Linked DNA regions of Caenorhabditis elegans. The protein of the gene in region 1 purifies or fractionates together with the protein of each later gene. This does not show direct contact. Each region holds a gene or a part of one and is shown in the gene's direction. Other genes may lie near its edges. The genes, in order: fbxc-54, ola-1 and aly-3.

The links.
Region 2: the proteins of fbxc-54 (region 1) and ola-1 fractionate together in Caenorhabditis elegans (co-fractionation; one large-scale study listed by BioGRID). This does not show direct contact.
Region 3: the proteins of fbxc-54 (region 1) and aly-3 fractionate together in Caenorhabditis elegans (co-fractionation; one large-scale study listed by BioGRID). This does not show direct contact.

What each region holds. Positions count from the first base shown.
Region 1 is NC_003280.10:26,889-37,289, forward strand, and holds fbxc-54 (FTH domain-containing protein), read left to right. Parts: upstream 1-4,830; 5' UTR 4,831-4,936; coding exon 4,937-5,013; intron 5,014-5,331; coding exon 5,332-5,785; intron 5,786-5,833; coding exon 5,834-5,977; intron 5,978-6,338; coding exon 6,339-6,472; intron 6,473-6,520; coding exon 6,521-6,671; 3' UTR 6,672-6,723; downstream 6,724-10,401. Other genes in the region: F23F1.4 (DUF7753 domain-containing protein), read right to left, coding at 5-124, 735-1,111, 1,175-1,391; F23F1.5 (Snurportin-1), read right to left, coding at 3,228-3,456, 3,727-3,976, 4,033-4,117, 4,171-4,288, 4,353-4,569, 4,617-4,686; F23F1.2 (EF-hand domain-containing protein), read left to right, coding at 7,381-7,492, 7,535-7,657, 7,702-7,950, 7,997-8,262; F23F1.6 (Cationic amino acid transporter C-terminal domain-containing protein), read right to left, coding at 8,413-8,637, 8,684-8,928, 8,990-9,674, 9,717-9,848, 9,899-10,100, 10,152-10,401.
Region 2 is NC_003279.8:13,332,305-13,344,452, forward strand, and holds ola-1 (Obg-like ATPase 1), read left to right. Parts: upstream 1-8,022; 5' UTR 8,023-8,044; coding exon 8,045-8,230; intron 8,231-8,615; coding exon 8,616-8,835; intron 8,836-9,764; coding exon 9,765-10,432; intron 10,433-11,320; coding exon 11,321-11,434; 3' UTR 11,435-11,648; downstream 11,649-12,148. Other genes in the region: Soluble guanylate cyclase gcy-35, read left to right, coding at 71-224, 271-349, 620-777, 967-1,032; casc-3 (Protein CASC3), read right to left, coding at 1,373-1,441, 1,493-2,400, 2,623-3,041, 3,370-3,535, 3,594-3,696, 3,745-3,834; W08E3.4 (Major sperm protein), read right to left, coding at 5,156-5,260, 5,311-5,383, 5,549-5,648, 5,704-5,869, 6,178-6,492, 6,540-6,584; snr-2 (putative small nuclear ribonucleoprotein-associated protein B), read left to right, coding at 7,127-7,129, 7,183-7,353, 7,410-7,718; wac-1.2 (WW domain-containing protein), read left to right, coding at 11,769-11,900. UniProt on the Caenorhabditis elegans protein: Hydrolyzes ATP, and can also hydrolyze GTP with lower efficiency. Has lower affinity for GTP. Plays a role in regulating starvation-induced thermotaxis responses in AFD thermosensory neurons.
Region 3 is NC_003282.8:12,121,210-12,131,356, forward strand, and holds aly-3 (Chromatin target of PRMT1 protein C-terminal domain-containing protein), read left to right. Parts: upstream 1-2,072; 5' UTR 2,073-2,104; coding exon 2,105-2,312; intron 2,313-2,362; coding exon 2,363-2,482; intron 2,483-2,529; coding exon 2,530-2,621; exon of another isoform or gene 2,622-3,037; coding exon 3,038-3,164; intron 3,165-3,214; coding exon 3,215-3,390; 3' UTR 3,391-3,600; downstream 3,601-10,147. Other genes in the region: M18.6 (CULT domain-containing protein), read left to right, coding at 168-393, 444-669, 717-1,268, 1,318-1,558; dhhc-6 (Palmitoyltransferase), read left to right, coding at 3,743-3,865, 3,913-4,198, 4,380-4,688, 4,737-4,948, 5,052-5,417; lin-24 (CABIT domain-containing protein), read left to right, coding at 8,298-8,429.

The sequences.
Region 1 (10,401 bases):
TGACGTATCCAACTTGTTGAAGACTTCCTAGGGCACTCTTATAATCTCCTCTATCACCTTGAAGGAAATCCATCTCACAATCACCATCCGCATCAAATGCTGACCAATCATTGAAACAGAACTCCTAAATTTTCAAGTCACCATTTTAATAAGTAATTTTTGAAAAAGACAGTTGGAGAAATTCAAAATCTCACAATTATGGATTTTTTTTCGAAAGCTTGCAGTTTGCAGAAAAATTGCTGGACAATTTCTTGATCATTTTCAAGAAATTTATTATCTTAAAATTCACATCAAATCTCTTTGAATTAAGAGGTGGGCGGCAAACGATTTTTCCGGCAAATCGGCAAATTGTCGAAATTGAAATTTCCGGCAAACTGTCGGAATTGGAATTTCGGTCAAAATCGATTTGCCGAATTTGCCGAAAATTATCGGAAAATTGTGATTTTGTACTTTTTTCTTGGAAATTTCAGAATTTCAATTTTAATCGGCAAAATTGTACACATCCTATAAATGTTGCTACATCTATTCTGAACAGTAAGCAAATTATATGATATTATTAAAGAAAACGTGAAAAAATTTTCAAAAAAGCACAGTTTTAAGTTTTTCCGTCTTTTAAAAAATCCCTCGAAACATTTCCGACACATGGCAAATCGACAATTTGCCAAAAATGAAAATGAACGGCAAAACGAACGGCAATTGCCGCCCACCCCTGCTTCAATTTTTTAAGTGTATACCTTTCTGAAAGTATAAAACCCAGGTCTATGCGGACAATTGATCCCACGCAATTGCCCAGCCAAACTATTAGATTGGTCTTCTTCATTCTGCTCCAAATTGGTCAAAGATTCACATACATCACAAAAATAACAATTGTTTCCATAGCCACCACATCCATTATTACTCGCGTTTTGACACTTCATGTTGGAAAAGTCCTTTACATTCCACCACTGATATTCCGCTTTCGCAAAAAAACTATTGTCAAGCGCTTCTGGTAGATCTTTAACTTTGACATTCTTAATTTCCAAAGTAAAGCATCCTGGGAATCGAACAACGTCTGGCTTTATATGAACTTGGCTCGGGTTAATATCCAATATTTTTTTTGCTCCGGGTCGTGCTTAAAAATAGCTTCTTTGTGAATCAAACAATTATGGATAACAAAAAATGGAAAAGTACATACTGCAACTTGCGTCAGCCCTTCCGGGAACCAGCCAAATGTCCTGATAGTTGCATTTGTGGTTGAGCTTCTTCCTAGCATCGGTGTGTCTGACTCCATTCCTATACTTTGCACGACATGCAGGATCCAATATATCGCAGTCAAGTTGGGCAAAAATCGATAATATAAATGAGAAAATAATCAGAATGGATATGTTGAAGGTGTAATTCGAAGATCGCATACTAAATGTGAATATGTGTATGTTTAAAATGGAATTTTCAATACAATTCGAATAAAAGGAAAGTAAAATATTTGTAGAAGCAAATCAATTTCTAATGATAATTGCGTCACAGTGTGTCCTCTAAAGTGTCTTCTTTCTTGTCTGCATTTTCTCTTATGCCTCTCTTTGTAACAAGATTGGCCGTACATGCCCCTCTTCCGACGCACCTAACCTGTTGACCATGGAGACCTTGGAGGTCATCATTTTTTTTGTGCGAAATTTGGCATTTAGCAAGAGAAGGGATCCCTTATGGGAGAGAAATAAAGAGTAAAGATAGGCAATTATGCTTTGTACCACGAGAAAAAAAAACTCATTTGACACATGAAAATCTTTTGAAAATGGAACAATCTTATACTATTCAGTACATGTGCTCCATGTCGTAAAGCGGTTTTTTACAGTTTCTTGAATGAAATCTCACGTGGTGTCAGGCTGTCCCTTCGCTCTACTGCACATGAAAACTTATGACGTCACAGCGAACTTCGAATAATTGTTTTTCAATTTAAGAGCCGATTTTCGTGAAATTGTTTTATCATTTTTTGAAGCAAAATGCAATAAAAACACAATTTTATTTTAAACATTATATTTAAAAATTATGAAAATCGAAGCTTAAATTGAAAATCAATTATTCGAAATGCGATGTGACGTCACAATTATTGCAAAAAAACATTTTTCCCATCTTTCGTGTGCAGTCAAGCGATGGGACAACTTGACACCACGTGACTATACGAGTTGGTGATTAGAATTTCAAATACAAAAACAATTTAGGAAAATACTCTGAAATTAGGAACTTTAGCAAAAAGAAACATTTTAAAACTATTGCTCGAGGAGTACACGAGCTGTGGAAATCGACATATTTTCCAATTTATTATTACGGCAACAAAAAATTCTGATACTTAATGCATATTGCACATCATATTTGACGCGCAAAATATCTGTGTAGCGAAAACTACAGTGACTATTTAAATGACTACTGGAGATCTTGCGTCGATTTTCAAAAGAATTTCTCAGTGACAGCGATATTACATTTTCCTTCGTTTTTTTTTTGTATTACTGTCTCATTTAAATTAAATAATATATTGCTTTCAATTCATTAACAGAAAATCGAACCCGTAAATCGACACAAGAGCTACAGTAGTCATTTAAAGAGATACTGTAATTTTCGTTACGAGATATTTAGCGCGTCAAATATGTTGTGGAATACGCATTCTCAAAATTTTGTGTATATCCCGTAATAATTGCAAAAATACACTTCAATTTTAAGAAAATTTGAAAGTTGTTCATAAATTGGCGGCATTTTTTTTTTGAGAATCCTACAGACAAAAAAAACGTGAAATTTTAAAGAAGCGGTGTCGGTGAATAGAGACGAAGAGGGATTAGGAGATAAAAATAATTGATCGAAGCAGCAGAAAAACCGATTTTCTTCATTTTCTTGCCCATCTCTCTCTCTGTCTCTTTTTATTTCGAAAAAAGACAGTCAGACTGGATTTGAGTGGAATAGAGGGGAAAGGGAGGGACAGTTCTACGAAGCGAAACGAAAACGATTATCCATCTCTGTTGGCAGTCTCATATGGAAAAGGTTGAAAATTGAAAATATTCGGGAACAAGAAGAACACAATAATATTTATTTCGACATACAAAAGGATTATATTTCTTTTTTCAACGAAGAAAAAGAAGTTGAAGACAAGAAGAGAGAGAGTTAGTACTCTGACACGAAAAGGGTAAAACTTACCTGAAAAGGAAATTGGAAAATAGGGGGGGGGGGGGGGGGGAATAAAATAATGAATAAATAAAAAACATTTAATGCTCCATAGATCTATCGATTTTCGACTGATGTTTATGCTTTTGATTGAATGATTCGATGAACTGTGAAGATGATTGTCCGTTTGACTCGGCCTTATATTTTTCCGGTACCGGGACATTGAGGATTTCAGGTAACATCCATGGTTTAAGCCATCCGACTAGAGGTGATTGTCCAGGTTGGTATACAACCGAATTATGATAGAAGAGGAGTCCATCGAGACGGAAACTGGAACAAATATTAAAGGTGTAGTAGGGAAATTTGACTTTTTGAGGGAATTTCAGGGAATTTGAGTGCATTTGCAGACCCAAAACGGTCCAAAACTACCAAGTTAAATTAAACGTTGTGAAAATTTCTCAAAAAAATGTTACAGTATTTCTTCTATATTCTATTCGAAAATTAAATTTTTTGAAATTTTGAAACTTTTTGAAACAAAGCAAAAAGCGAGAATTTGAATAAACCGATTTCGCAATTTTTGGTTTTTTTATTTATTATTACCTGATCTCGTTTTTCATAAGCTCCGCCATCTGATCTTGGGAGCACGGACAGCTGGGAATCGGTGAGAAAATATTCCTGAAGCCAGGCGTAGATTTCGCTAGTTCAGGAGCCTCTTCAAGTTTAGACTTTAGCATAAATTGGCGGAAATCGTATGGACTCTCAACATATTCGTGTGCATTCCATGAAAGAAGATCGAGCACATAGTATGTCTGATTCGAGTAGATGCAGTCAAGAATTGTCCAAGCCTGATCTATAAAGTGAGCACATTGAAATCGATTTTTTATTTATTTCTAAAAACACACATACTTTTAGCACGAGTATTTCCACCAGGAAGGCGAGACTGAAATCGCGATACTTCTCTTCCGCCTTTGTTATATGCAACTGTGAAGCCCTGAAATACAAGATTATCCCGGGTTTTTAATAATTAAATCATTAAAAACAAACTCGTGATGCAACGACAAGTGTCCGTTTGCCCACTGGAGCCATAACCATCGTCCAGTCGGAAGAAAGTGATTCCGGAATATCCACAAGCCACTCACTCAACATCATTTTGTCGGCATATCTTTAAAAATTGAAATATAGTTTTTTTTTAGTTTAAGAATTCGAACTTTTAGGAAATTACTTACTTTTTAAATTTTCCAGTGTGTTTTTCAGCAGTAGTTGTCTCAATTTTTTGTTCATCGTCTTCGTCAGAAGTAACGTCATCAAAAGCTAAATTTCGTAGTTTCATAAATGTGTCAAAGCGGCCATTTTTTTGCCGCTCAAGCGTTTCTTCACGACGCTTTGCTTGTTGTTCTGCAGCTTTTGTAAGATTTTTGTACTGCGAATACCTCGGATGTTCACCTGAAAAAATCAATGTTTACTTTTTGTGTTTAAAAAAGGAGTCTCACCAAGAGCTAGAGGATCGACCTGAAATCCACTGCTAAGCTGGTCTGTCAACGAATCTAAATCGTCCCCCATTTGTGATACTGGAAAAAATAATTTTAAATTAGTTTAATCAAACTTTTAACTAAATGAGTATAAGAAAAAGCTTTTACAACAATTAAAAAACTGTAAAAGTCGAAAAAGTTGCTCTGTTGATTTACGATAAACATCTCTCGTTGCGGGATAGTGGAGTGTCGTTGGGGGAAAATATTTTTTCGATTTCGAAATCGATTTCAACACATTCACAGCGAGAAAAAACAATTGCATATAATCGATTTTTTATATTATGGCCTGTGTAGACATATCACCACTATCATATGAATCTGTAAAATCCGTTGTCAAATATTTGAGCCTGAAAAAAAGGTATACTATTTAATATTGATATTTAAAAAAATACTGGTTCATTAACCGCACGGTTAATTAACCAGTATTTATTACGGGAACACAAAATTCTGAGAATACGTATTGCGCAACATGTTTATATCTCGTAGCGAAAACCACAGTAATTTTGTAAATGACTACTGAACGCGTAAATCGCCACCAGCGCTACAGTAGTCATTTAAAGAATTACTGTGATTTTCGCTACGAGATATTTTGCGCGTCAAATATGTTGTGCAATACGCATTCTCAGAATTTTGTGTTCATGTAATTTGAACACATTGAAAAACAAAACATTTTCAGGGAGCAAATTAATTTATCGATTCCGGCATATCATAAAACAGCCAAACTTGCACCTTTCAAACTAGAAAACGTTGGGTTATCAGATTTGTACATTGAAGTCAATGATAGAACGTGGACTTTGAGTGAAACTGACATCATTGGTTGCACTCTTGTTTTGTATCGCTCAAACGGCTACAACTTCCAGCACATTATTTCAATAACTCCTGAAGTTGCGTTCCAGAAGCTTATATCCGAATATTTGAGAAATGGAACACGTATTAAAAAATTTCACTTGTATGCCCTTCCAAGTCTGCTCAAAAACGTTGAGCTTCATGTGTCAGAGCTGAAAATTGACGGATGCGACTATGAAACATTTGCAAAGTTCCGTAAATTCATTGATCATAACCAAAAAATATTAAAGGAGATTGGGTTTGTGGTGCGTCAGAATACTTTATGGATGTTTGATGAACAATTGGTACAGAACACTTCAAGCTTTCCGCCTTCAACTTTTGATAAATTTCAGGTGAAAAACAGTAAGGAGATTTATCTCCAGTTTCCGTATTATAATCCGGTCCCGTTGGACGATATGCTTCTTCGGCTGAAAAACAATCATGTACACATTATCTATCTGGGCTTCCCGATTGAAAAACTACAAGAATTGGCTATGGTGAGAAATTTTGTAATATTATACTTTGGCCAAGTTTGGTGCGGATCTTTTTGATTTTCCACTCAGAAATACGGTACCCGGTCCTGTCACGAACAGAACAATAAGGTCTGCGCTTTTAAGTACGTGGTGTCAGAGTGCCCCATATTGATTTGATCTACGCAGATCTATGAGAATCGCGGGAATTTAGATGCAGATTTCTTAACTGGTTTTGAATGGTTAAGAACGTGCTAACGTGAAATTTTTTGGAAAAAAATTCCCGCATTTTTTGTCGATCAAACCGCAATGAGACAGCCGGACACCATGTGTTTAAGTAAAGCACAGTATTTAACCCACTACTAGTTAAAAAAAAAATATAATTCAGAACTGGATCGACACTAAGAAGCCAATTGGTACCTCACTCTTCCTGGTTGTTGAGCATTATACATATGTTATCGACGTGTTTGAGCATTTAACCAAATACTCTAAAGCTATTCCTTCAAGACTCACTGATCTTGGGTAAGGTCTTAGAACTCTATAATATACAAATAAGCTTGACTCATTCAGAACTTCCTTCTTTTCACATTGTGTAACAATGCATATTGATGAAAGTTCTGAATTGGTGCTATTTGGAGGTCCAATGGTAATTGAATGGAAACCGTTCAAATGGACGTTGAGAATGACGATCATGAAACGCGGATCGACAATTTCAAAATGATTTGGAATCCTCCAAAATTCTGATTTTCCTCAATAAACATTTTAATATTTTATGTTGCAATGTGAATACAATTTTCCTTCTCTGTCAGGATACTCCAGAAGGAATGTATGGAATCTTGATGTTCAGAACATCAGCATCCCTTGATCAAACATCGAATCTGTTATTACACTAAAGTATGTGTTCAGTGAAAGTGCTGTAAAAGATGATTAACGTCCTCAAGAAGCAAATGCTGGCCGATGACAGTTTTTTTGAAGATTCAGCTAATTTCATTAGATATTCTAGTTGATTCAATATCTTGAAGAAATTTTTTCGCGAGATGATGATGTTCTTTCAAGTTAAAATTTTGATAAGTTTACGTTGTCAAAAATAACAACAGAAAACTACAGCTGGGAGTAACATTGCATATAAATAACATAAGTATTAATTTATAATTACACTATAAAATAGTTTTAAAATTGCCTCAGAACATGTAAACAGTCTAAATAATTACTTTTTAGATTATTGTAGATAACAAGAAAACAAGTACAAAATCAGTAAGTATCATGTCATTACACATTTGCTAGAACCAGTATTTTGAACACACTTGCGGACACAGGTCAACACACTTGTTCTTAGCACCCGCCTACAGCTTAGATGTTCCCTTTAAAAGGAAGTACTTACGTCGCTACAAGGGCAGATTTCTCCCTACTTGGCTATATCTCTTTGTTCAATGATTAAACGTCTTCTCTGCTTTCTCTTTTTTGGCTTAACTTTTTCAGCTCCGGTGCCATTACCCCTAGAAGAAGATTTTAATGTTTTCCATACAAAACAGGAAAACCATGGTACGTTTTCTCATCTTTTTTGAAATTTGTATCAATTAACAGAGCAAAGATTCCTTCGTGTTGATCACAATAGAGACAAAGTAGTCTCATTCGACGAATTTCTTCACATGGAACTTGCATATGTTGATGCAAAGAAAGAAGAGTTTGATACGTTAGATAAGAACCGTAAGTGATGTTTAAAGCGTTGAGAAATTAGCAAACTACTTTAGATGACGGGAAAGTGAGCCTTGCCGAGTACGAAGAGCATTTCCACGAAGCCTCAAGCAAGAATGAAAAATCTCGGACCGCATACTTTGCCAAAGTTTTCGAAGATTTCGATGAAGATTTCAATATGGCATTGAGTCGTGAAGAACTTGAACGTGTGCTTGCTGAACGATTCTTAGTCAAACCAAGAGAAAACTTTCCCAAATTGTTTTTCAAGTTTGACGTAGACAAGTCCGGAGGACTTGATCTGACTGGTGAGCTAAGTGCTCGTTTTATACATCTCGAAGTTTTTTTTTACAGAATACATGAAATTTGATGCTGAATTCCCATTCGATCAAACCGATCCAGTTGGTGGAGGACCATCCAAATCTAACAATCACCACGATCAAATGCACACAGAAGTCCCTCAAGATGCTGACGCTGCTGCAATTGCAGCCGTGTTGGCACAAGCTTCACCAACACTGAATAAGAGTCCAGTCGGTGTTGCTCCACCCCAAACGTCACCTGGATTGCATCCAGTGGCACCAGGGTTATTCCAGACGGCGGTGCCAATCAAAAAAGTTTGATTCTAACAGTAACTTTTACAATTGTAATTTTTAATTTTCTCTAATACTGGTATCACAAATCACTGTCATTCACCATATCAATTGTTTTTGTAAATAAAGCTTTATAGTTAAAATATTATATACAAAAATGCATTGCACAAAAGGCTGAAATCAGTGAACTTTAGTATCAGAGGTTCTCGACATAATCTCATTATGTACATCAATCTTACTCAATTTTTGACCTTCTTTGCTGTGACGGATACCATAACAAATGTAGATTACAATGCCAATCGCCAACCATACAAAAAGACGAATCCAAGTCATTGAGTTTAGATACACCATCATGAAGACATTGATGAGTAGACCAAGGCATGGAATGAATGGAACAAGTGGCACCTTAAACTTTTGAACTTATTATTTTTTGTAAAATGTTTCTGTTCACCTTATACGTAGATGTTGACTTATTCTGTTCATGGCCCAAAATAAAAACGAATGATAACAGTGAAAAGGCAGCACCGACTGTCAATAAAATAATACCACCAGCATTGCTAAATATTCCTGTTCTGAATGGAATTGCCAGGCAAATATAACCAAAAATTAATCCTGCGACAGCTACGCGAATTGAAATCCCCTCTGAGAAATTTTCCCAAACACCTTGAAATGGTACCCACGACTTCAGGCATCCGCCTTAAAATTTTTATTTTGTTAATTTTGCTAAACACGTGTGTGTTGCTTTATAAAATCTTACCATTATCATAATCAGTTGCACTACCATCTACAAGATGGGATTGATGCCGCAAAATAATAACACAGATTGAGACCATTGAATAAGCCAACAGAGTTCCAATTGACAAAAAGTCGACAAGCGCCTGCAGATCGAAGACCAGTGCCAAAATTGCGTTTATTATAGTAAACACAATAGTTGCATTGAGAGGGGTTTTTGTTTTTGAGTTTATCACCCCAAACCACCCGAAGATAAGACCATCATCAGCCATTGCATATACAGCTCGTGGAAGAGCGAATGATCCAGTAACTAGATTGTTCAACATACCCGCTAGTGCACCAACACTCATTATAATCTTGGCAACAGTTGCTCCTTTCATTTCGAATGCAGCAGCAAACGCGGCATCAGGATCAACTAAGTCGTATGGTATCATCAGCGTCAATGAGGCGCCCATAAGTACATATATGACACTTATAATTGCCAAAGAAGTGAAAGTAGCCAGTGGGATTGTTCTATGTGGGTTTTTAGCTTCTTCTCCAGCAGTGGCTAAAGCTTCAAATCCGATAAATGCGAAAAAGCATGTGGAAGCGCCAGAAATAGCTCCTTGTATTCCATACGGGAAAAATTTTGAACGACCATCCTGGTATGTTCCTGACCAGAGTGAAAAGTCTGCATAGGTTAGTCCACAAATAATCACAAACGCCAAAACCTGAATGAACATTTTGTAATAGGTTTTGACACTTTAACATACCGCCAGATTTAAAAATACAAAACTAGTATTCACGTTGGCAGAGAACTTTGATCCCATTGCAACCGCCACTGCTACAAGAAACAATAGGAAGAACGCTAAAAAGTCAGGGTACAGTGCAAAAAATCCTTTTCCCTGTAAGTTGAAACGCGTATTAGCATATCTGATTCAAAAATGGCACGAACATCACTCAATCGTCCAACAGTATCCAATGTCCAGTTGGACACACTTTTAGATACAAGATTGTCGAAATAAGCAGACCACGAACGAGCGACAGCGGCGTTTCCAATCATGTACTCTAGTGGTACTGTCCATCCGACAATGAATGCCCAAATTTCACCCATTCCTACATAACTGTATGTGTATGCACTTCCAGCTCGGGGAAACCTGGAAGTTTATCAGTTTAAACATGTAAAGTTAAAAAATAATAAAATAAACCTTGCTCCAAATTCAGCATAGCTGAAAGCTGACAAAAGTGCAGCAAAGCCAGAGAAAATAAAAGATAGTATAATTGCTGGTCCTGCTTGATTTCGAACAACGGATCCCGTGAGTACGTATATTCCAGCTCCAATCATGTGTCCAATCGCAATGAACATTACGTCAAGAATTGTTAAACATCGTTTCATTTGTGATTCAAGATGTGATCCTCCGTCAAATGTCTTTTTACGAAACAAGACATCGGCTATTT
Region 2 (12,148 bases), on another chromosome or scaffold:
GATCTTGAAATTTCCAATACTTTGTCAGTTGACAACTTTTGTATCTCAAACGGCTGACGATCTATTCCAGGTACTGTCTCTTCGGTGACACTGTCAACGTGGCGAACAAAATGGAATCCAACGGTATTCAATGCAAAATTCACGTCAGCGAGACTGGGAAGCTCAACGGACTGAAAGCTAATCCATCATACGTGTTCATTGACAGAGGAAATACGGAGATCAGGGTACTGTAGTGTAGATTTACGGAGGTCAAATATTCCATGTTTTCAGGGTAAAGGAATGATGTACACCTACTTTTTGGAACGAAACGATCGGAAAAGTGTATGGGAGTTGTGTTCAAGACCTAGATGTGAGTTTCTATCTGGATGGGTCTCGCCGCGAAATTTTTTTTATTGCTCAAAAAATTCCTCAACTTCTACCACAAGCCTTTTTCGCGCCGAGACCCAGAGAGTGTAGATAGTTGAAGAGGCACAGACATCTCGGGACCCAGCCGCTTTGTGTAGATTTACGGGGGCTTTAATGAAGAGGGATCCGTAAATCAACACAAATCGGCTATTCCCGCTACCCGCCTGTAGGCATGCGTGGGTTAGCCTTCTAACCTTTTATGCCTATTTTTCAGCTGGCGAACAAACAATCGACGGATATATGGAGCTTCACGATCAATCGATTTATCAAGAAGAAGGTGGTCAGCAGGAGAATCTGACTGTGGAAAATGGAAATTCTGCTCAAAATAACCATAATAACAATAATAATACACATCATTCTGGAAGGAAATTGGTAAGTTCTGCGGCCTACGCCTGCCTGGCGCCTACCTCGGCAATCGGTAATTACCGAAGTTACCGTACGCCAAACAATTTTAAATTACTGCTGTGCAAACACCAAACAAAAATTCAGAAAACAGGCGGTAGGCAGGCAGGCACTTACGCCTGCCTACCAGAAAACCCATACCTACAAAAACTCTTTCAGATGAATGGATCAAGTGTGGATCCCGGCAGTCATCACATCCGATCACCGACTTGCACAATTTCTTAACTTTATTTTCTTTTTTTTTTATTTTTATTTAAAAAAAAAAACACTTTTACTCTGTATTAAGTAGAAAAAGAGAAAAAAGACAGAAAAAACAACGTATTTTTGTATGAGAATTATTAATTTTTTTTTTGAAAATGTAAATATTTTTTCTGAAAACAAATAAATATATATTAATTTTTGCGTAAGTATTCAGGATGCAATCAATCAATAAATACATTTTTTTGGGGGGATGCAATGATTATCATAAGAAAAGGCCTATGGGATGAAGTTTCGGGGAAAAAATATATAGAAAATATATTAAAAATTTGAAATTAATAATTTAAAAAATGAATTTTGATCATGTTTATTGATGATCCTTTGGGTCAACAATTGGGATGACCTTTTTAGAGCGTGGAGGAAGTTGGCGGGTTCCCTGAAATTAAGAATATCGTGTCGAGACCCATCAGGGTTACTGTAGTCTTACCTGTTGCTGCTGGGGATCAAAGTACACAACATCGGTGGGCTGTCGGATCCTCTGCTGTCCACCACTACCACCACCACCTCCTCCATTATGTTGATTTCCTCCGTGTGTGGAGCCGCGTGTCATTTGTGGGGGTGGGACTACGTTGCCGGGCACAACACCGACGGCAACCATCGGTGGTGGGGGTCCCTGCACGAAACGCTTCTGTTGGTGGTTATGGTGATTATTGTGATGTTGTGGTGGACCGTGGTAGCCGCCACCGCCACGTGAAGCATAATCAGCATTGTTTGAGGAATAACCTCCCCGTGATGATGGATAGACATTGGCTGATGGATGAGGATGGGATCCACCACGGAAGTTTGTTGAAGATGCTTGATAGGAACGATCGGATTGATGGTTTGGTCGAGGTGATGAGTAATCCGTACCGGATCCTCCTCGCTGATACCCTTCACTTTGTTCTGAAGTATCAGTTCTTCTTACTCCATATCTTGGTGCTCCAGATCCTCGAACACCTCCTCTGATCGCACCAGTTCTACCGTATCCTCCAGTGCCACGTGTCACGGTGCCTCCTCCTCTGGATGCTCCTCGTATAACACCACGTCGATGATTCTCGAATCGATCATCATTTCGATCTCCTTGATGGCTATAGTCACGACGGGAAGATGATGATGGTGGTGGTGGAGGTCCTCGAGATGAAGATTCCACAGGGCGTCTGTTGCTAGCAGAAGATGGTGGAGCTCCGGATGATCGTCGTGGTGGTCCCATCGGATGGCTCATTCGTCCACGGAGTCGAGATGGAGGGCCCGACGTGGTTCCACGGCGGAGTGGAACAGCACGTCGTTGGCCACGTCGGATTGCACCATCGTCCTCGTCTTCTTCGTTTTCCTCGCTAGATGGGGGAGCTGCGGGTTCTGAAAATAGGGAGGCTTGATTGGATGTTAAAATCTTTATTGGATATTAAGATCTAAGTTTGATTGTCACTAGTGGGGTTTTTGCATCAGATTCCTCCAAAGTACCGAAAAAAAAAGCAGAGCAATTGCCAGAGAACTATAAATTTTTTGCACAAGGGGCCTAGTTTTCGAATCTAGTTTCTTAACTTAAACCCAACATATTTAAAAATCCAGAAAACTCACTCTGTTTCCTTGGCTTCTCCTGCTGCTTCACCTGCCTCTTCTGTGCTGGCCTTACACCTTGATCTTCCTCTTCTTCTCCCTTTGACTCATCCACCGTATCTTCTCGTTCTCTCTGCTTCATCGGCCTTCTCGACGTTCCACTCTTTCCGACTTTCCCCCTCGTAGTCGACGAGACTCTCCGATCCTTCTGTTGTCGGGAAACTTGTCGAGCATCCGAAGACTCTTCTTCTGTGGATTCAGGTGCTGGTGCATCGATTTCTTCGCCGTCTTGTATTGGTGTACCGTCTTTATGACGAATATCGAAGCCGTACTTGGTGACAATTTGTTTTTTGGTCTTTGGGCGTTGGAATTTCTCATCGAAGCGGTCGTGCTTCCAGTCACAGTCGGCGCGGCTCTTTTTCAGGTTTCGGCGGTCATCACTATAAATTTTCAGTTTTAGGATTCCCGTTTCCCTGTTTTGGATTATTTTCGAATATCCCCCGGAATGAGAAGCCCATTTTCGAACCAATCAGTGTCTTTGAACTCCGCCCATTTCATCTGATTGGTTGAAAGTTGGGCGGAGCAAATTTCTGATTGGTCTTGTAGTTCTAATCTTGGAGCGAATTCAAAAAATGAGCATTTGTCAAAATTGAAAAATTTGAGTAGGATTTCTCATACTTTCTGGATTTTTTTCGGTTTTTTTTAGTATTTCTAAAAACCCGCCCATATCTTGGCTCTTGTTCATTTTTTTTCAGGTTGTGCACCTACCTATCATCATCCTGAACTTGAGAATTATTAACATCGCCTCTACGATTATCATCATGCATATAAAACCTTCCAGTTTTCGGGATATACGCCGGATTTTCCACGTTCTGATCATCATCCAAATTTGATTTCTCTTCACCGTCCTCTGGGCCATCTTCTGCCGCTTCATCTGAACAGAATCTCATTTTTAACACATTTTTTCTATAAAAAAAAAAGAAAAACCCTACCTTCCTTCTCTTCAGAATCTCCACCACTTCTCTTTTTGGCTGGAGCTGGCTCATCATCGTCTTCTACTGATTCAGCTGGTTTTGCTGACTCTTGGGGAGGGTTCTGAAATGAAAAAAGTTTAATTGTGTGAAATTAAAAATCCCAACTAACCTGAGCTTCACCGTTCACTTTCACTTCTACCGTTGACTCCTCGTTTCCGCTCTTCTCAACCGTCTCCGTAGTCGCCGACTCGGCCGCCATTTTAGGTTCTAGAATACGGGAATTTTTATTCAATTTTTTGAATGAAAAATAACTTTGATAATGAGTAAGAGCTTGGTTGGGACAAAAATCGATATTTCACAAAAAAAAATACTGTGGCAGGTCTCGACGCGACGAAAAAAATGTTTTAGCAAGGGTATGTGCCTTTAAATAGTACTGTACCTCCTAGTTTTCATTTGTTGCTTTTTTATTTATTACGGGAACAAAAAATTCTGAAAATGCGTATTGCGCAACATATTTGACGCGCAAAATATCTCGTAGCGAAAATTACAGTAATTCTTTTAATGACTACTGTAGAACTTTTGTCGATTTACGGAAATCATTTGTTAATTGATAGCATATCAAAAGAACACTCAAAAATAACAAGACAGTACAAAAAACTACAGAAAATTGAATATCACTGTCTCGAAAATTAGTACCCGTAAATCGACACGAGAGCTACAGCAGTCCCTTAAAAAATTACTGTGGTTTTCGCTACGAGATATTTTGTGCGTCAAATATGTTGCGATGTACGCATTCTCAGAGTTTTCTGTTCCCGTAATAATTATGAAAGAAAAATCACTGAAAATTACAAAAAAAAAATATTTTTCGGTCGAGAATTTCGGTCGTGTCGAGACCTTATACCGTATTTTCGTGTCAAAAAAGTTTTTCATCTTAACATAAGTTTATGAGCACTTTGAGCAAAAAAGAGCCAAAATCGATAAATATTTTTGAAAAATTCTAGTTTTCAAACAATTTCCATGAGAAATATCTCTTTATTTTTCGGAAAATTTTCCCACAATGGGAACTTTTATTGATTGAAAAGTCTAATTGCTAGTTTTTTTCTAACAAAAAACCTAGAAGTTATATAATTTTTCGTATCAAAGTTTCAAAAAACGTAGATGGGCAATTTCGAAATGTGGGCAAAACTGAGCAGAAAATGTGTATTTTTAGGAAAAATCAATAACCACAGAGCTCTTGCAAAACCTATTTTTTCAAAAAACTACACGAAAAAATCCAACTGTACAAGTACAAAAAGTGGTTCAAATTGCAGTTTTAGACATAGAACACCGGCGATATACAGAGACGCAGACAGTTGTGCAGAGAGAATATTCCCTTTTTAATGTGGTGGGTCTCGTCGCGAAAACGATGGAGATTGACAGCGAGATGACAGACAAGTGGAGCCTCACAGTGGAGAGAGTACTCGGAAGTGGAGAGAGTGCAGAGAAGTAGTAGGGAATGAGAAAGAGAGACGGAGACAAGTTAGAGGAAGAATTCGATAAAAAAGGCGGGATGTTTCAATTTGAAAGTTTATTCGTTTTATTCAAGAAATTGAGCAATTTGCTTGATTTTTCTCATTTGGAGCAGTGGTGGCTTTCATTGCATGAGCCTTCTGAGCATTTTGAAGCTCGTTTTGGAGACGTTGAACCTGAAATTCAAGTTTTTTTTTAAATTTTTCAAAATAAAAAATCTCAGTACCTCTGCACTTTTGCGCATGTAACTTCCTTCCAGCACTGTCAGTTTCGACTTGTACTCATCGACCAGAGCTTTTCTGAAATTTGAGTTGTATCGGGTCTCGACACGATCAAAACTTTTATGTAAAGAGTGTGCGCCTATAAGGGGTACTGTAGTTTTTAATCCGTTTTTTTTTTAAATTTTGATACACCATTAAAGGCGCACGCGATCGTGGCGAGACCCGGAAAAAATTCAAAACTACCTTTGTTGCAATTGTGCATCCAAAGTGATTTTCAGCTGTTTTGCCTGAGTTATATTAGATTCAAGCAGTGCTGTGTCACTTTTCGTCAGGTTTAGAATCGCTGAAATTTTCGCAAATTTAAAATTAAAAAAAACGAAGCAAACGCGCTCTATTACACTTAAGCTGATCCACACGATCCGAACCAATCACTGAAGACGCGTCGAGAGCCGTATGAAAATCGGTTGCCGTCTTTGAAATCTCCACTGCCGACTCGATTTTCATGATGGTTGTGCCGAGATCCAGGGAGATGGATTGGACATTTTCCGGAGAATCGAAGAGTTTCTGTAGGGAAAAATTACTTTCTTTTTTTTTGTAAAGTTTTTAATTCAAGCTGAAATTCAGCTGAAAATCGAGAATCTTTCAGTTTTTTTGCTTAATTGCAATTTGAATTTGCGCGTTTTTGTCAAATGCAAGCGCGCTCCATCGAACAACGCTCTCACAAAAAACGCGGAAATTCAAATCGGAATTTAGCGAAAACTGACAGCTTTTCGGTTTTCAACTTGAAATATCATCTTTTCTGAAGGTTTTCGAAAAGTTTTACTTTATTTTTTTTATATGATATTCAATTATTGTACGAAAATAAAACCAACTTTCGGGTCGAAATCTCCACATTCTGGAATTGATGCAGCTTGAAGCACGATTTCATGTCTCGGTCGGAACTTGTTCTGATAAAGTGTGATACACACTTCAATCGGCTCATCGTCACGCAAAACAGCCTGATTTGGGGTTATGAAATATCGAGTTGGAGCATTTGTCTTGAAAAAATTCAGATATTCCAGAGGCTGCTCACACCTGAGCTTAAATACCAGAAATCTCCAATAAATTGGTCCAACACCAGCTAAACTATTCAATTTCAACTTTTGACACGCATTTTTTGGTTGATCAATATCGAAACACACGAATGTCTGAATAAAATTACCGGATAATTCAAGAAATTTTCGAAAATTCTCACTTGATCCAACACGACATACAACTTATGACCGTTAGACTGCTCCATTCACCACTCTTCGATTGGACTAATATTCGAAATAATCGATTTTTGCATTTTTTATACCCCTCCCCTCACCTTCTCTTCCCCAATTTCTGCTTTCCGTGGGGTCACGCCTTTTTTATTTGAACTGCCGCGCAAATCGATTTAAAGGCGCACGCATTTATACGAATGGGTCTCGTTGCGGCGTCTCTAGATTTTCGAATTATTCTCCAGCAGTTTTGGCTGATTTTCAGCTTGTTTTGTCGGTTTTCAGTTGATTTTTAAGATTTTCTTTCGAAAAAATTGAAAAATTAGTGAATTTAAAGGTTCTTCATCGCTTAAAATTTCAATCAATTTCAAAACCTTGATTTCTCGCCGGTATTTATGTAATTTCAAACGATCGGTTTTCAAACGGTTCTTGTGACTTTTAGAAGTTGTTTTGCAGAAATATTCGTTTGTTTCATCTCTTGTATCATCAGAACTCTTTAATTTCTTTCATTTTGAAAGAGTAAAACTTCAATATTCTTATTTCCAGGTCCTAGACAAAAAATCACAACCAACGCCTCAAGATGGTAAGTTTTTCTACAGTTCTCATGGAGATAAATACAAAATATTTTCTTTTCAGACTATCTCCAAGAATAATAAGATGATGGCTCATCTCAACTACAGGATGAAGATCATCCTTCAGGACGGTAGAACCTTCATCGGATTTTTCAAGGCTTTCGACAAGCATATGAACATTTTACTCGCAGAGTGCGAGGAACACAGACAAATCAAGCCAAAGGCCGGAAAGAAGGTATTGTTTTCTGTTTCTGCAGCGTTGATTGAAGACAAAAACCATTTTATTTTCAGACCGATGGAGAAGAAAAGCGAATTCTCGGCCTCGTACTGGTCCGCGGAGAACATATCGTCTCGATGACCGTCGACGGACCACCACCAAGAGATGACGATTCAGTGAGACTCGCCAAGGCCGGAGGAGCTGGAGGTGTCGGACAAGCCAAGCCAGGAGGCCGTGGAATGCCAGCTATGCCAGGAATGCCGGGAATGCCACCAGGCGGAGCACCAGGAGGCCTCTCTGGAGCCATGCGCGGACACGGAGGACCAGGAATGGCAGCCATGCAGCCAGGATATGGCGGCCCACCAGGAGGACGTCCATTCTAAAATTTTGCTATCCAAATCCGCATGTTTCTATCATTTTTCCCACCGATCTTGTATTTTTCTCTGTTCTTTTCATTTTTTGTGGTAGAAATACCTTTAATTATATATTTAATTTATCGATACTCTCTCGGGTGATCGAGATCTTCCCATCACCCACCAATCTTCGTAAGCTGTTCAGAATCTGGAATAAACTTTTTGAATTTTGAGAGATTCAGTAGGCTAGGTTTTTGATAGCTCAATGGTTTTAAACCCAGAATTCTCTATCTTCTAAATTCTCATCTTTTTTTTATTGTAAAACACTTAAAAGTCGTCAGGGAACCATCAAAAAGATGCCTCCAAAGAAGAACGTCGTCGAGGAGAAGCCCGCGTTGATCGGACGTCTTGGTACCAACCTTAAAGTCGGAATTCTGGGTCTTCCGAACGTTGGAAAGTCGACATTCTTCAATGTGCTCACCAAATCCGAAGCACAGGCTGAAAACTTCCCGTTCTGCACCATCGATCCGAATGAGAGCAGAGTACGTTCTTCTGGAAAATTCCAGCGGAATCCTCTGATTTTAAGCCTTTCCAATCGTGCGAAGTCCTTTGATTTTCGGTGTAATACACGCGGAAAACTGATTTTTGCAAAATTTTACAGTTTTCACTGGATTTTTGGACTATTTATTTAATTATTTAACATTTAAAATAGCCCCAAGAGCTGTTTTACATAGATTTTTGCTTGAAATATTATCAATTGAAAAAAAAAGTTAGCTTCTTACAGGTAAAACGCAAAATAAATAGTACAAAATTCAAAAAATTCAGTTTTCCACGTGTATAACACCGTAAATCGACGCAAGAGCCGACCTGCACTGTATAATGAATATTTAAAGCCTTCTAACAACTTTCAACCATTAAAATTTCCAGGTAGCCGTCCAAGATGATCGTTTCGATTGGCTTGTGAACCACTACAAGCCAGCTTCAAAGGTTCCAGCTTTCCTGAATGTCACAGATATTGCTGGTCTTGTGAAGGGAGCTTCAGAGGGTCAAGGACTCGGAAATGCTTTCCTTTCTCACGTATCCGCCTGTGATGCACTTTTCCATCTGTGCCGTGCTTTCGATGATGACGATGTTACTCACGTTGAGGGTAATACAAATTTCCGAATAAATTTAGATTTTCTGGATCCTCGTATAAAGCTAATTGTAAAAAACTACCGATTTTAAGCCAAAATTGACCCCCAATTACACAAAAACTGGAAATTTTCGACTGAAATTGATTATCTTCGAAAAATATTCATTTTTGCCGCCAAATTACCAGAAATTGGAGAAGGAATGCACCAGAAGAAAGCTCAAACTTATTTTAAAGCTTTATTCTCCTTTTACGATTTTCTAGATTTTTCAGACTTCTGGAGATTCCTGGAGCGAAAAATCAGTTTTGAATTACCTATTTTGCATTCAAAGAGGATAAATGTTAGGTTTTAAAAAAAAAAGACCCCTAATTTCATACCTAATTTCATATGGAAATTGCTCAGAAATGTTGGAAAAAGACAACAAATTTAGCTAAAATCTCGAAAGTGTCTCTGTTTTTGCGTAATTTAGTCATTTTTTGTTTGAAAAGTACACGTTTGGACCAAAAATTGCACCTTAATCGTGAAAAAAATGAACAAAAATTGCATTCCAGGTGCTGTGGCACGGCAAAATGGCAGTGTTTAGCTGAATTTATGCATTTTTTCGAAACTTTCATCAAGAAATTTCAGCTTTCTGGCCCTTTTGAGCCTAATTGAGCAAAGCACAGTTTTTATCACTCCAAAATAAGCCGAAAAATGTTCAAGTACGGTCAAGTGAACAATATTTGAGTTTTTTTAAAGCTATTTTAGGTCACTTTTAAAGCTTTTAGATGTCTTTTCAAGTAATTTTGAGTATATTTCAGCAAAAACTTTTTACTACTCTGAAATACGCTGATAAATGTTCCAACACGTCGGATTTCGGTACCATTTTTAAAATATATGCTGTAAAATGTTTTTTCAACAAAAAAAAAATCAAAAATTAACCAAATCAAGTCAATTTTCTTTTCAGGAGAAGTCGATCCAGTCCGTGACTTGGAAATTATCAGCAACGAACTGTTCGCCAAGGATCTTCAATTCATTGATGGTCCACTTGATAAAGTTGAGAAGCTTTTCACTCGTGCCAATGATAAAACGAAGAAAATTGAATACGATACACTTGTCCGAGTGAAAAAGTGTTTGGAAGAGAAAAAACCAGTTCGTCAAGAGCTCTGGAACGAGAAAGAAATCGAAATTCTCAACAAACACCTCTTCCTGACCGCCAAGCCAATCGTTTACTTGGTTAATTTGTCTGAAAAGGATTATATTCGTAAGAAGAACAAGTGGCTTCCAAAGATCAAGGCATGGATCGATACGAATGACGCCGGAGCAGTACTCATTCCATTTTCTGGAGCATTTGAGCTCAAACTTCTCGATATGCCAGAAGATGAGCGTCAAAAATATCTCAAGGAGCAAGGAGTCACGTCGAATCTTGATAAAATTGTTCATACCGGATACAAAGCTCTTCAACTTGAATATTTCTTTACTTCTGGAGAAGATGAGGTGAAAGCATGGACAATTCAAGTTGGAACGCCTGCACCAAAAGCCGCAGGAAGAATTCATACGGATTTCGAGAAGGGTTTCATTATGGCTGAAGTCATGAAAGTTGCCGATTTGATCGAGTTGGGAGATGAGGCTAAGGTGAATAATCGATCGATATCTGGAGTTTCAGGGATTTTCGCCTGAAAATACGGGTCTAGAAGCGACTTTAAGGAGTACTGTAGTAGCTTTTCAAGTTTTTTCCAAAATTGTTATGTATTTTTTATAAATTTGCACATGTTTTTCAAAATTTATTGGAAAACGTGGCAATTAATAAAAATACACTAGATTTTGAATAAAATGGAGAAAACCCTGAAAAAAACTAGCTCCTACAGTACTCCTGAAAGGCGCACACTCTTTTTCATTCTAGAAAATCGATCGCTGCAAGACCCGCTACCGTATTTTTGCAGCAAAAATCACAAAAATTTGCTTTTTTTGTGCTGAAAATCTTCAATTTTAAGTTCGATATTCTAATTTTCACTAAAAATTAATCTAGAAATATAAAAAAATCATTGATTGATCCGAAAATAATACCAATTTTCATTGAATAATTCGAAAAAGGCCTCAATTAGTGCCTGGAAGTTAGAAAAAAATGTCGTTTAAATTTTTTTCGGCTGAAGACAATTTCCAGGCACTATTTGAGGTCTTTTTTCGAATTTTTTTTAACAAAAATGGATTTTATTTCGAATCAATCGATGATTTTTCTATATTTTTAATATTAATTTTTGATTTAAAAAAAAGAAATTTTGAATAAAAAATAAAAATAAATAATGTACCCGGTCTCGACACGAAAATTTTTTGTTCAATTCGAAAATGCGTGCGCCTTTAAAAATTACTGTAATCGCAAATTTTCATCGATTTTTCATATTTTTCGATAAAAATTGGAAGTTACAGTACCCTTTAAAGGCGCACACCATTTCGCATTTACGAAACTTTGTCGTGTCGAGACCGAAACTTCGCTACTAACAACAAATCAATTCAAATTTTCAGTGCAAAGCCGGCGGCAAATACCGTCAACAAGGAAAGACGTACATTGTTCAAGACGGTGACGTCATCTTCTTCAAATTCAATGCCGGAGCCGGTCTTCAAGCCAAGAAGAAGTAGAATTGGAAAATTTCCCAAATTGTTCATTGCCCGGGGTTCCCAAATTTCCTGTTTAGTAGTCATTTTCCGTTTGTTTTTCTTATTTTTTCCCGATAAATTTAAAGTTTTTATTGTTATTTGCGCATAACTTGTTCCCCCGCCCCCGCAAAAATTGATTTTTGATAATTTTATATCATATTTAATGAACTTTTCAATGTTTTCAGTTGGCCGCAGATCAGAAAATGGTAATTTCTGACCATTTATTTATATATATCTCTCTCTTCTGAGCCTCGAAAACTCCCCAAAAACTATACCCGCCGTCTTGTAGATCAGCTCGGCGGTGGAGCAACTGTTTATGGCGGGTCAGCCGTCAGGATCAGGCTCCGAATCGATTCAAATAGTAAAATTGCATGCTTTTGGAAATTGGAGAGAAGTTCAGAGTCGAACTATGCCTGGACAAATTTATTATTACAATCGATTGACTGAGGTGTGGGCTTGTTTGGCAAAAGAAAGCAGAAAAAATTGGCTGAAATTCACATTTTTTAATTTTATAGAATAAAAATCTAAAAAATTGCCAGTTTTTTAGGTTTAAAACTCTCGAAAATCCCAATTTCACTTAAATTCTCACAGAAAAACCAAAAAAAAAAACTATTTAGTCTGAAAAAACGCTGGAGAAATATTTTTACAATTAAATTTGCTCTGTTTTCCAGCAGAAAACTCAAAAAAAAAACTGAT
Region 3 (10,147 bases), on another chromosome or scaffold:
CGCAGAAATTCGCGCCTGCTAGAAATATAGCAAACAACGATTGTCTCGCACTCTCCACTGTCTAGCATGTAGCAACAGAGCGCACCTGCATTGTTTTTTTTTTGTCAAAAAAAAACAATCCTGTTTTTATCCTATTTAATTTTGTTTTTAAAATGAGCGAAGAAGAAATGGAACTTATTCAAGACGAAGATGAATCAGAATCAGAAGATTTTTATGACGCAGAAGATGCGGAGCCACAAGCCATGGAAGGACTGAATGTTGACGTGACTCACAGATTCGATTATGCTCTTCAAGACAATGAAAATAGAGAAAATTATGAAAATGAAGCCAGACTCACAGATTATGGAACAAATTGGTTTCCGATTTGTGGAGTCAGTGCTGTTTGTTTTCCTGGTGAGTTACATTTAAAAAGAAAAACCTCCCGATTTCATATTAGTTTACAGGGCAACAACTCCCGATGAAATTCCACGATGATGAACGAGAAATCTATGAAAGACTTGTATCGAGTGCTCGAGCTAATGGATTTGTTGTACTGTTTCCATTGGATATTCCAGAATGCACATCACTCCCATATATTGCTACACTTTCTAGAGTTGTTCAAGCAAATTCTAACGCTCTGAGTATGGAGTTGATGGGCGTCTACAGATGTAAAGTTTTGAAGTATAATTTGTAAGTTTTACGAAACATAATTTCCTTCTAATTTCTTTCAAATTCAGAGGGCGTGGTGAAGCAGAAGTACAATTGCTACCAGACGTCGAACTTCCATCGTTACTTCCATCATTTATTCCGAAATATGCAATACATTTACCTGCTCACGAAAAACGTTCAATTGCAACCCGAATCAATGGATATCCATTCAATGCTATTCGAGATGTTACAGAAAGTGCTGTGAATGAATGCGTGGGACTACTTTCAGGAATGCTTGGAGATGACACTGTGAGACAAGCTAAAGATCGTGGCCTCACATACTTCAGCTATTTTGCTGCAAAGCATATTTTCTCTAATCGGCTAACTGAGTACAGTCTCTTGAAAGAAGATTCAGCGAACGGTCGTATAGTTGCTGCTCTGAAGTATTTCAAAGTATTTGTCGGGAGATGTTCTAGATGTCGCATTCCAATTTTCCGCAATGAACATATCATGAGGCTTCCAGATCAAACAATGACTCATGTTAATGCTCACGGATTTGTTCACAAAATTACCTTACTGTCAGAAATACGAAACTATGATCGAGCTACACCACCATCATATGAATTCACATGGTTTCCAGAGTCAGCTTATTCAAATACCTCTTTATCATTAAATTAGTCAGATTTTCAGGTACGCATGGATTATCATTCAGTGCTCCAGATGTCATGAACACCTTGGATGGGAATATATCAGCATGACTCGTGAACCACGACGCTTTTTCGGAATTCAACGAGAAGGAATTACGTTTCAAAACGAATTACAAGAAGGCGATACAGAGGAAAATTGGGATCATGTTCCAGAGTTTGACAACGATGATCAAGAAGAAGAAGATGATGCGATGAATTTTATACGGTTAATTCTGCGTCGATGAATACTGTATCCTATTTAGTTACTTTGCTAGATATACATCACTGGTCTCAAAATAATTTTCAAGAATGATTTTTCGTTGCCAATTGGCCTTAAGAAGTAATAAACTTTTTGTATGAGCCACTCGTTGTGTCGTTAGTTTTAAATACTTGTTTCCATCCTTTTTCTTACTTTGAATTATTATTTGAAAAACGTTAAAATTTCTCTACACTGATTTTAAGCTGTCAATTTGTTTGTTTCCCTAATTCTCTGCAAAAAAATGTGTTGAGAATTTTATTCAAATAAGAGGTAACGTATGCTGTTGACCGCGTTGCGTACGCGTCGCGGTCACCAAACGCAGCGTTTTTCTCAGTTTCCTCATTTGCTCATTCCTATCTTTTCATTCATTATTTCTCATTCCACTTTGGTCTCCGCTACATTTGCTCTTCCGAATAATTATAATTTTTTTCTTTGTTTTTTCCCGTGAACTTACTTTTGATCTTAAACCAAATGTTGTCGTTCTAATTCAATTGAAAAACGTTTCAGTTTCAACTCCAACAATCTTCGAAAAATGGTTAAGGCTACCAATGTCGATTTGTCTCTTGAGGACATCATCTCTAAAACCAGAAAGACAACTGGAAGCATTCAAAAGAAATCCTTCGGAGGAGCTCGACGAGGAAATACGAGACCCACTGGACTTCCACGCCGCTCCGGCGGAAGTGGTGGATGGAAAGACTTGGACGCGGTTCAGAATCATGGAATTTCAAGCAGAGGAAATGGTGGGTTTCAAATCAATATGTATCTTATTTTCTACTCATTTTGATTATAGATAGCAAGGTTATTAGAGTAAATATCTCTAATCTTGCCCCAACAGTCATTTCAAGCGATTTGGAGGAACTCTTCGGCGACTACAGACTCAGCTCAGTTTCGGTCAACTTCAACGAGCATGGTAAGCTTGATAATATATGCAACCGTATTGAACCAATTTATTTTCAGGTGATTCATTGGGTACTGGTGACATTTCGCTCACCAAACGTGATGCTGAGAGACTTGTTCAGAAGTTTAGCGGTGTCGCTCTAGATGGAAAGGTATTGCATTGGGATACAACAAATCGATAACAAAGACTTTGAAACAATCAATTGGGGCTGAATCCTGATTAAAGTGTGTGCTCCAGCGGACGCTCCTGAATGCGTTCTGTTCTTCTTCTACCAGTTCACAGAAATCTACTGTACGCAACAACAGACCCAGGCAATCAGAATCTCGTTGTTTCCTTTCAAAAAGAGACTTAATAAACCTGTGTTGAGGTTTTTTTGTTGAGTGTGGCCGTTCATTCGATGAAGCTCGTTGAAATTAGTTTTGACCCGTGTCGTGAGATGGATTGTGAGGGGAAAGCCGTTGCTGTCGACACGCATTAATTGATTGGCTCGAGACTTGGTTATTCAAGATTTCTCCGTTACCCAAATCCTGATCTCAGGTGACACAAAATGGAACATGAATATTTCAGATCATGAAATTCGCCGTCATTGATTCGAGCAACATGGCTGGGAGAGTCGATTTTGGAAACAGATCTCGTAGTTCACCGGGAAGATCATCTCGTGGATTCCAATCGGGTCCTCGCAGAAACAATGGCAGTACGTTTTAATGATTAAATTGTGTTCACCAGAATAATCTTTATTTTCAGAACCAGAAGATTTCCTCCGCGACGGAGTGCACGCCGGTGACATCAAGAGAGGCGGAGCTGGTCGAGGTGGATTCCGCAAGGGAGGCCGTGGTGGAGCTCGTGATGCAAAACCAAAGAAGACCGAAGCTGAACTCGACGCGGAGCTCGAAGCCTACATGGCGAAGCGAAATGCCTGAGCACTTTTTTTTTAAACTATAAATCACTTTTTGAACATTCTTGATATCTGCTATAATCTCTGATCCTTCTGTTGTTCTATCACATTAATAACTCGGAATATTTTACACAATCACCAATTTTTATATTTATCGTTCTACTACTTTCCTTTCTCGTGATCTTTTTGTCCACATTTTAAAAATTCGATAAAATAATAAACTGAGCGTCAATAATTTCTTATTGGATCAAGTATGAAGTCGATTTTCGATGGAAGAATATCGTTGTCAGTTATGTGGATTCACCCAGGTCGCCACAATTATGTTCGAAATTTGATTTAATTTTAAATATTTTATTATTGAAATTTAATCAATTCAGATGACGGGTGAGGTGGTGGAGACTCCGGATTGGCCTGCTCCAATTGCAGAAATTGGAGATAAGCCTGTATTTAGACGAATGTTCCATTTTGGAACCATTTTTGCATTCTCCACAATAACCATGGTATTTTTTATATAATTTTGATCATTATAAAATAATATTTGATTCAGATTGGAGCAGTAACAACATTTTTTGCTCTTCAGTGGATGCCTGTTACTTCATACATGGGACTTTTCAATACACTAACATTTTTATTGTGGAATTATTTAACAATAGGAAATCTCTTCAACGCTTCATTCTTCGGTCCAGGATATGTGCCACGTGGCTGGAGACCAGAGAATGCAGCCGACGAGAAGAAACTTCAATTTTGTGTTCCGTGCAACGGATTCAAAGTTCCAAGATCTCACCATTGCTCAAAATGTGATCGTTGTTGTATGAAAATGGATCATCATTGTCGTAAGTTTCTAGATTAGGCCGAGCTTCTTCAATAAATAATAGATAGAGTATCGTCGGGTTTTTTGCTCGAACAGACAGTAAAGATTCTCAATATATTTACCGAATATAGCTGGAATAAAATAATACAATTTTTTAAATTTTTATGATTTTGCAAAAATCTACAAATTATATTATATTTCAGCTTGGATCAACAATTGTGTCGGTCACCGAAACCATCAATATTTCCTTCGTTTCCTGTTCTTCTCAGTTGTTGGATGTATTCACTCGACTATCATTGATGGTTCAGCACTCTATCACGCAATCTTTGCTGGATGGTATCAGAAATATGGCGATGGAACGGAGCCTATAATCCTTCTTACACCAATTTCCTTCATTGCTCTCGTATTTGCAATCGCAATGGCCATTGCTGTTGCTCTGGCTCTCACTTTTCTATTCATAACTCAACTACGATATGTGATTCGAAACAGAAATGGAATTGAAGACTATATTCGTGAGCTGCTTCTGACAATTTTTTTAAAAATACCTACTGTGTTTTCAGATGGAAAGTCTCTGAACATGCGTAAAGTCCATGAAGGTGACGATGAAGAAGAAATTGAATGGATCAAGAGTCTGGGTGAATGGACGTATCCATATGATCTTGGTTGGAAGAGAAATCTTCGTGAAGTTTTTATTGGAATTTTTGACGGGAGGACAAGAGGAAATGGAACATGGTGGCCAGTTGTGAACGGATGCACGCAGTTTACGTTTACAGTAAGTTCAAGCTCATTAAATTATTTTTTTAGAATGAAAACATTGAAGTTTTTCATTTAAAAATTGAATTACAATAAAATCCGTTAAAAATGTTTATATTCAGATCGATCAACTGCTCCAGAAACAATCGAAGCGTGGTCGTTCGCGTATAATCACCATCAGCGAAGATTTTGCTGGGACCTGCTGCGCATCTCGTAAATTCGGCTGCAAAGTTTGGATGAAACAACCGATTATCGATGGAAAATGTCTCAAAGTTTCGGCTGGTGAAACAATCGTGGCAACACGTGGAATTGCTGGCTGGGTATATGGATTCCGAGAGTCGGATCCACGGAACAAAGGATGGTTCCCGCTTGAGATTTCTAATATGAAAAAGAAAAACGACACGAAACCGGATGAAACATCTACTAGTGAAGATGAGACATCCCAGGATACGGCTACTACTGAAGAAGAAGAAAAGAAGAATCAGTGATCAATTTATTATTTGTATTTTTATGTACTTGTTGAATATTCGTGTGTGATATTTATTGCCTTTCACCTCTCAAAAATCTAATTGCTCTAGATTCTGTCATTCCATGTTTTTATGTAGTGTTTTCTGATAACTACCACCAGACAATAAATTATTTTATCGATTTCCACCATCTCACAACGCCTTCTAATCATGTTCTTAACAGGTAATAGGATTTAGTCGGGAACCCTCTCAACAGAGAGTCGATCTATAACATTCTCGTTTGTCTCTCTCTGAATCGCTTTTTTCCGCTTCCCGTTATAATTTGCGTGTAAGTGAATACAGAAAAATCGGAGACGAAAAGAGGGTCTCCACGACTAGAATGCTCTCTCAGAATGCTCACCGCCTAATGATCTTGGAATCGGCGACGTAAAAGTGAATTATTGGCACGAGAGAGTATTCAGAGTAGGTGTAGTGGTGAGCTTTTTTTGGGAATTTATTTATTTCAAAAGTTCCCAATATTTATGTCATCCGACAGAAAATCTAAATTTTGATTTTTTTAAGTAAAAATTTTGTATAGCAAAACTGAGCTGTAAATCCATGCAACAACAAAAAACAAAAATGAATTTTATTCTACAGTAAGATATTTCTAGCGCTTCAAGACCCGCACCCCGAAAGGAGTGTGTCCCTTTAAGGTAATTGACAGTAGCACACAGGTTGTTTTATTTTGTTTTTCGATTTTCTCTGTTTTTCGATCAAATTCTGTGGTATTTTTATACGGTTTCTAGAAAAAAAAAACTATTTTCAAATATTTATCTACTCTGATTTCCTATTTTTCAAAAAAAAATGTTCAGTTTTTCCGATTTGTTGCGTTTTCCCGTTACATAAATTGATTTTTCTTTAAATTTAAAATTTGTTTTGCACAATTAGGTCAATGTTAGAGTTTCTACGATTTTCTAGCAAGTTGTCATGCTTTCATTGCGGAAAAATACCTCAAAATCTTACAAGCAAGAGTTTTTTTTCAAAATTGAAAAAAAACCTAAAATAATTTTAGAAAACTTTTATAATTTTTTTTGCAGTTAGATGTGGTAGCAGTTAGTGCAAGAACCCCTCGTAGTATTCTCCAATGACGAGATTTCAGAATTTCTTGGCAAAAATAGGGATTTTTAATTTTGAGAAACCTAATTTCACATGCCTAAATAAAGAAACAACCGTTTAGAACAATTGACATCATAGAGCAAAACAATAATCAAAAAACGACGCTCTTGATGACTCAGAAACAGAAACTGTCGGAAAAATTCTTACAGTCGGAAAATTGAAATTATCTGCGTTTCTGCATCCATTCAACTATTTCTTCCCGTTATCGACTCGAAATCTCCCGCAGTGAATGAGAGTATTCTCCCCTCCTTCAGTCCCTCACAAACATCTCTCCGCCCATTCCATTCCTAACAGGCTCCACCCATTTTTGCGGGGAAACGCGCGTCAACTCCATAGACTCGTTGTGACTCATTTCTTTTCCTGTGTTTATTGATTTGTAACAGCTGTATTCTTTTGGCACACGAAGGGGGTACTGTACTTGTGCTCCTCCCCTTATTTCAACATCTTTTTGACACACGGCTCACCACGGTTATGACGTCAAACAGCACCTTTATAACCAAATAGATCAGTATTTTGAAATGTTATTTGATTCACCATCTATACATTTTCACACGCATCCCATAATCTTCTGATAAATTATCGGAAATTGAAGAATATCGGGAGAAAATGTCGTGGGAAAATCTACGACTATAAAATTCGACAGGCTGAAAAACAATATCACTTTTTCTGTTTTTTCACTTCTAAGAAGTTTTTGAACCGATTTTTTTGTGTCAAAATACGGTACCAGGTCTCACCACGACAATGTTTGTTAACTCCGGAAAGGTGTGCGCCTTTAAAGAGTACTGTAACTTCAAACCAGCGTTGCTGCTAAGGTTTCATTGATTTTTGTCCCGGCGAGACCCAACCAAATGAGCCCATGCGCCTTTAAGTAGAAGATTACGATAACTTTTCAATGTTGAACAAAGCTTAAACACTTCGTTTGTTGCTTTCTAAAATATTAAGTTTCCAATGCCCTAAAAAATGCAATAAAGGCCGTTTCTATTCTTCTTTCTCCGTTTTTGGCTCTTTTCAACCGGCTTTTTCTATTGTGTCGGTTCCCCTTTCAAAACTTGTCTTATTCCTCCCCTTCCAAGCACAGAATGCACTCACAGTGTGTTCTCTCAACCGTAATGTTATCATTGTTGTTAATGATAATCTGTGTGTAAATTTCGAGTTCGATACCTCCGCCTGTGATTCTCTCTCACTCTCTACTCTCTCATTTGACTCATCAACTTTATCGATGAAAAGAAAAAGAGTTTCTCAAGGGATTCTCTCTTTTTCCTAATACCTCTCACTGATTGGCTTCATTTTACTTTTCTATTCCATTTTGTTTTCCTTCACTTCTGTCCTCATATTTCGAAATTTTCCTAATATATCATTATTATGAGGACACAGAAAGCGTAGAAACGCGCTCCGCCCACACACCATGGGTCTCGTTAGGTATTTGGTGGCAAATCCTTAGTTTTGTCGAGTTTTCTATCGAAATGATATTTATAGAAATTCATGTCAAGTTGAAAAATCAAGAAGGTTTTCCATTTGTTTACGAATTTTATTTCATCACTTTCGACACTAAAATCATTAAAAACAACAGAAAAAATTACAAAAAATACGAAAAAATCTTGAAGATTTTTGAATTTGCTGCCAACTACCTAACGAGACCCATATATCGTTTTTCTGCGCTTCAACAATATTTTCTTCAGTTTCTTTCACTTATGTGTCTTTAAAATAATATTTCTAACATTCCTCAATTTTTTTTTATTTCAGAAAATGAATCACGTCGATGTAGATCAAATTCTCGAAGACTATGCATGGCACCAATTCCAAGATGTGCAGTCACTTCGAAAGACTCGAATCGATGACTTTCGCGGAATTGACAGAGATGACTGCGAGTTTGTGATCGTAAGTTGGATACTTGAAAAGAGGCGAAGGCCATCTTCATAGGTCCGAGAGATTGTGTCTCCTTTGTTTCCTAACCAATTTATTATTGTAGAAATAAGAAAGAGAAAGAGGGAAGAGGCGCGTGCCGGTACAGTTTCAAAGAAACCGTTTTAACATATGAAAAGAGGTAATAGAAGAGATTGAATAGAAAAATGGTAAATAAGAGTAGGCAATAAGGTAACCATATTCAATTAAATACAACCAGATGGGTGGGTGCAATTCTACAAACAATGTTGCTCTTTTTCTGGAAATCTAGAATTTTTGAAATGAATATTAGGGTTTCTAACTCTTTTTTCGGCCTATTTTCTATTTTTGGCATTCATTTTAATTTAAACCCACCTTATTACACAGACGCAATATTAACCGATCTCAACAAGACCCATTTTTGTTTGATACAAAAAGGTGCTCGCCTTTAAAGAGTACTGTAATCTAAAAGTTTTGTTTCTGCGAAATTTTTAAAATACATAAATTCAATTTTGTCGAAGCCTACGAGCAATCGATATAAATTCGGCAATAACAAAAGTTGAATTCGCACACCATTTTGCATTTAACAAAAATTGTCGTATCGAGCCCCTTTACCGTATTTTAGCTTTGAAAATGTCCTGATGTCTCCACGAGAACTACGTGCATTTTTTAGAAAAATTATACAGTTTTTGGCTAAAATAATTTGGAAATCGAAAAACCGAAAAATTGTTTAGAAAATTATCAAAAAATTCAATTTTTGTCAAATTTTTGTGCTTCTTTAAAATAAGAAAATTGACCAAATTTTAAAGTTTTTTTTTCGAAAAATTACGCTTTTTACCGACACCGCAGTTCGCGATTCCTATTAGATGTCACTCTACATAATTCGATAAAAAATTCCATTCACACCTATCAAATTGTGGAATCTCTGACTCTTTGAGGGACGACAACTGTCACACCCTTTTACCACTATTTTTCTCAAGTTTACCCGATTCATCTGTATGATATGACGCGTGTCGCCGTCGTCTGAGATTCAATCGAAAAGTGTCCGCGCGAAACGCCCCGGTTGTTTGTGTTGTCCTGTGTGAATGGGATCGACAGGGATATAATAGAATGTATGTTCATCAGAGACTTAGACATATTTGCGAGCTGATTTGACATCAAGTGCCAACGAGCACAGTGCTCTCCCGCCACTCAGTTCAGTCACTAATGTTGAAATAGTTGGGGTCGAATTGAAGAAAAATACGGAGAAAAGCATGAAGAATATTATAGATTCGGTAACTCGATATTCACTTCTTCTTTTTCTTTTTGAATTCTCTCGAGCTCTCTCTCTATTTTCAAAATTCAAAAGAAAACGAGTCCTCTCCTCAGTTTTGGTGGTTTTGTTGAAACGCGCTAATGAGCAGCTAGTCAGTCAACTCTCTTTTTCCATTCCATTGTAACATCCAAATGGAAACCCTCTAATTAAAGAGTGACCTCTTCGGTGTGGATGGATGAATTGGAAAAGATTGATATGAGGGAAAAAAGATGAAGGTCTACATATTTACATACATTTTAGGCAGTATTACGGGAGGAAACACACACATCACCCAGAGGCGATTAGAAGAGAGAGAGTGAGGGTTGGAAGAAGAAGAAGAACGAAATTAGAAGTGGGATTAGTTGGGAAAGAGTCTTGAAATGATGGGGAAGGGAAATATGGAAAAATGTAGGAAATAGGA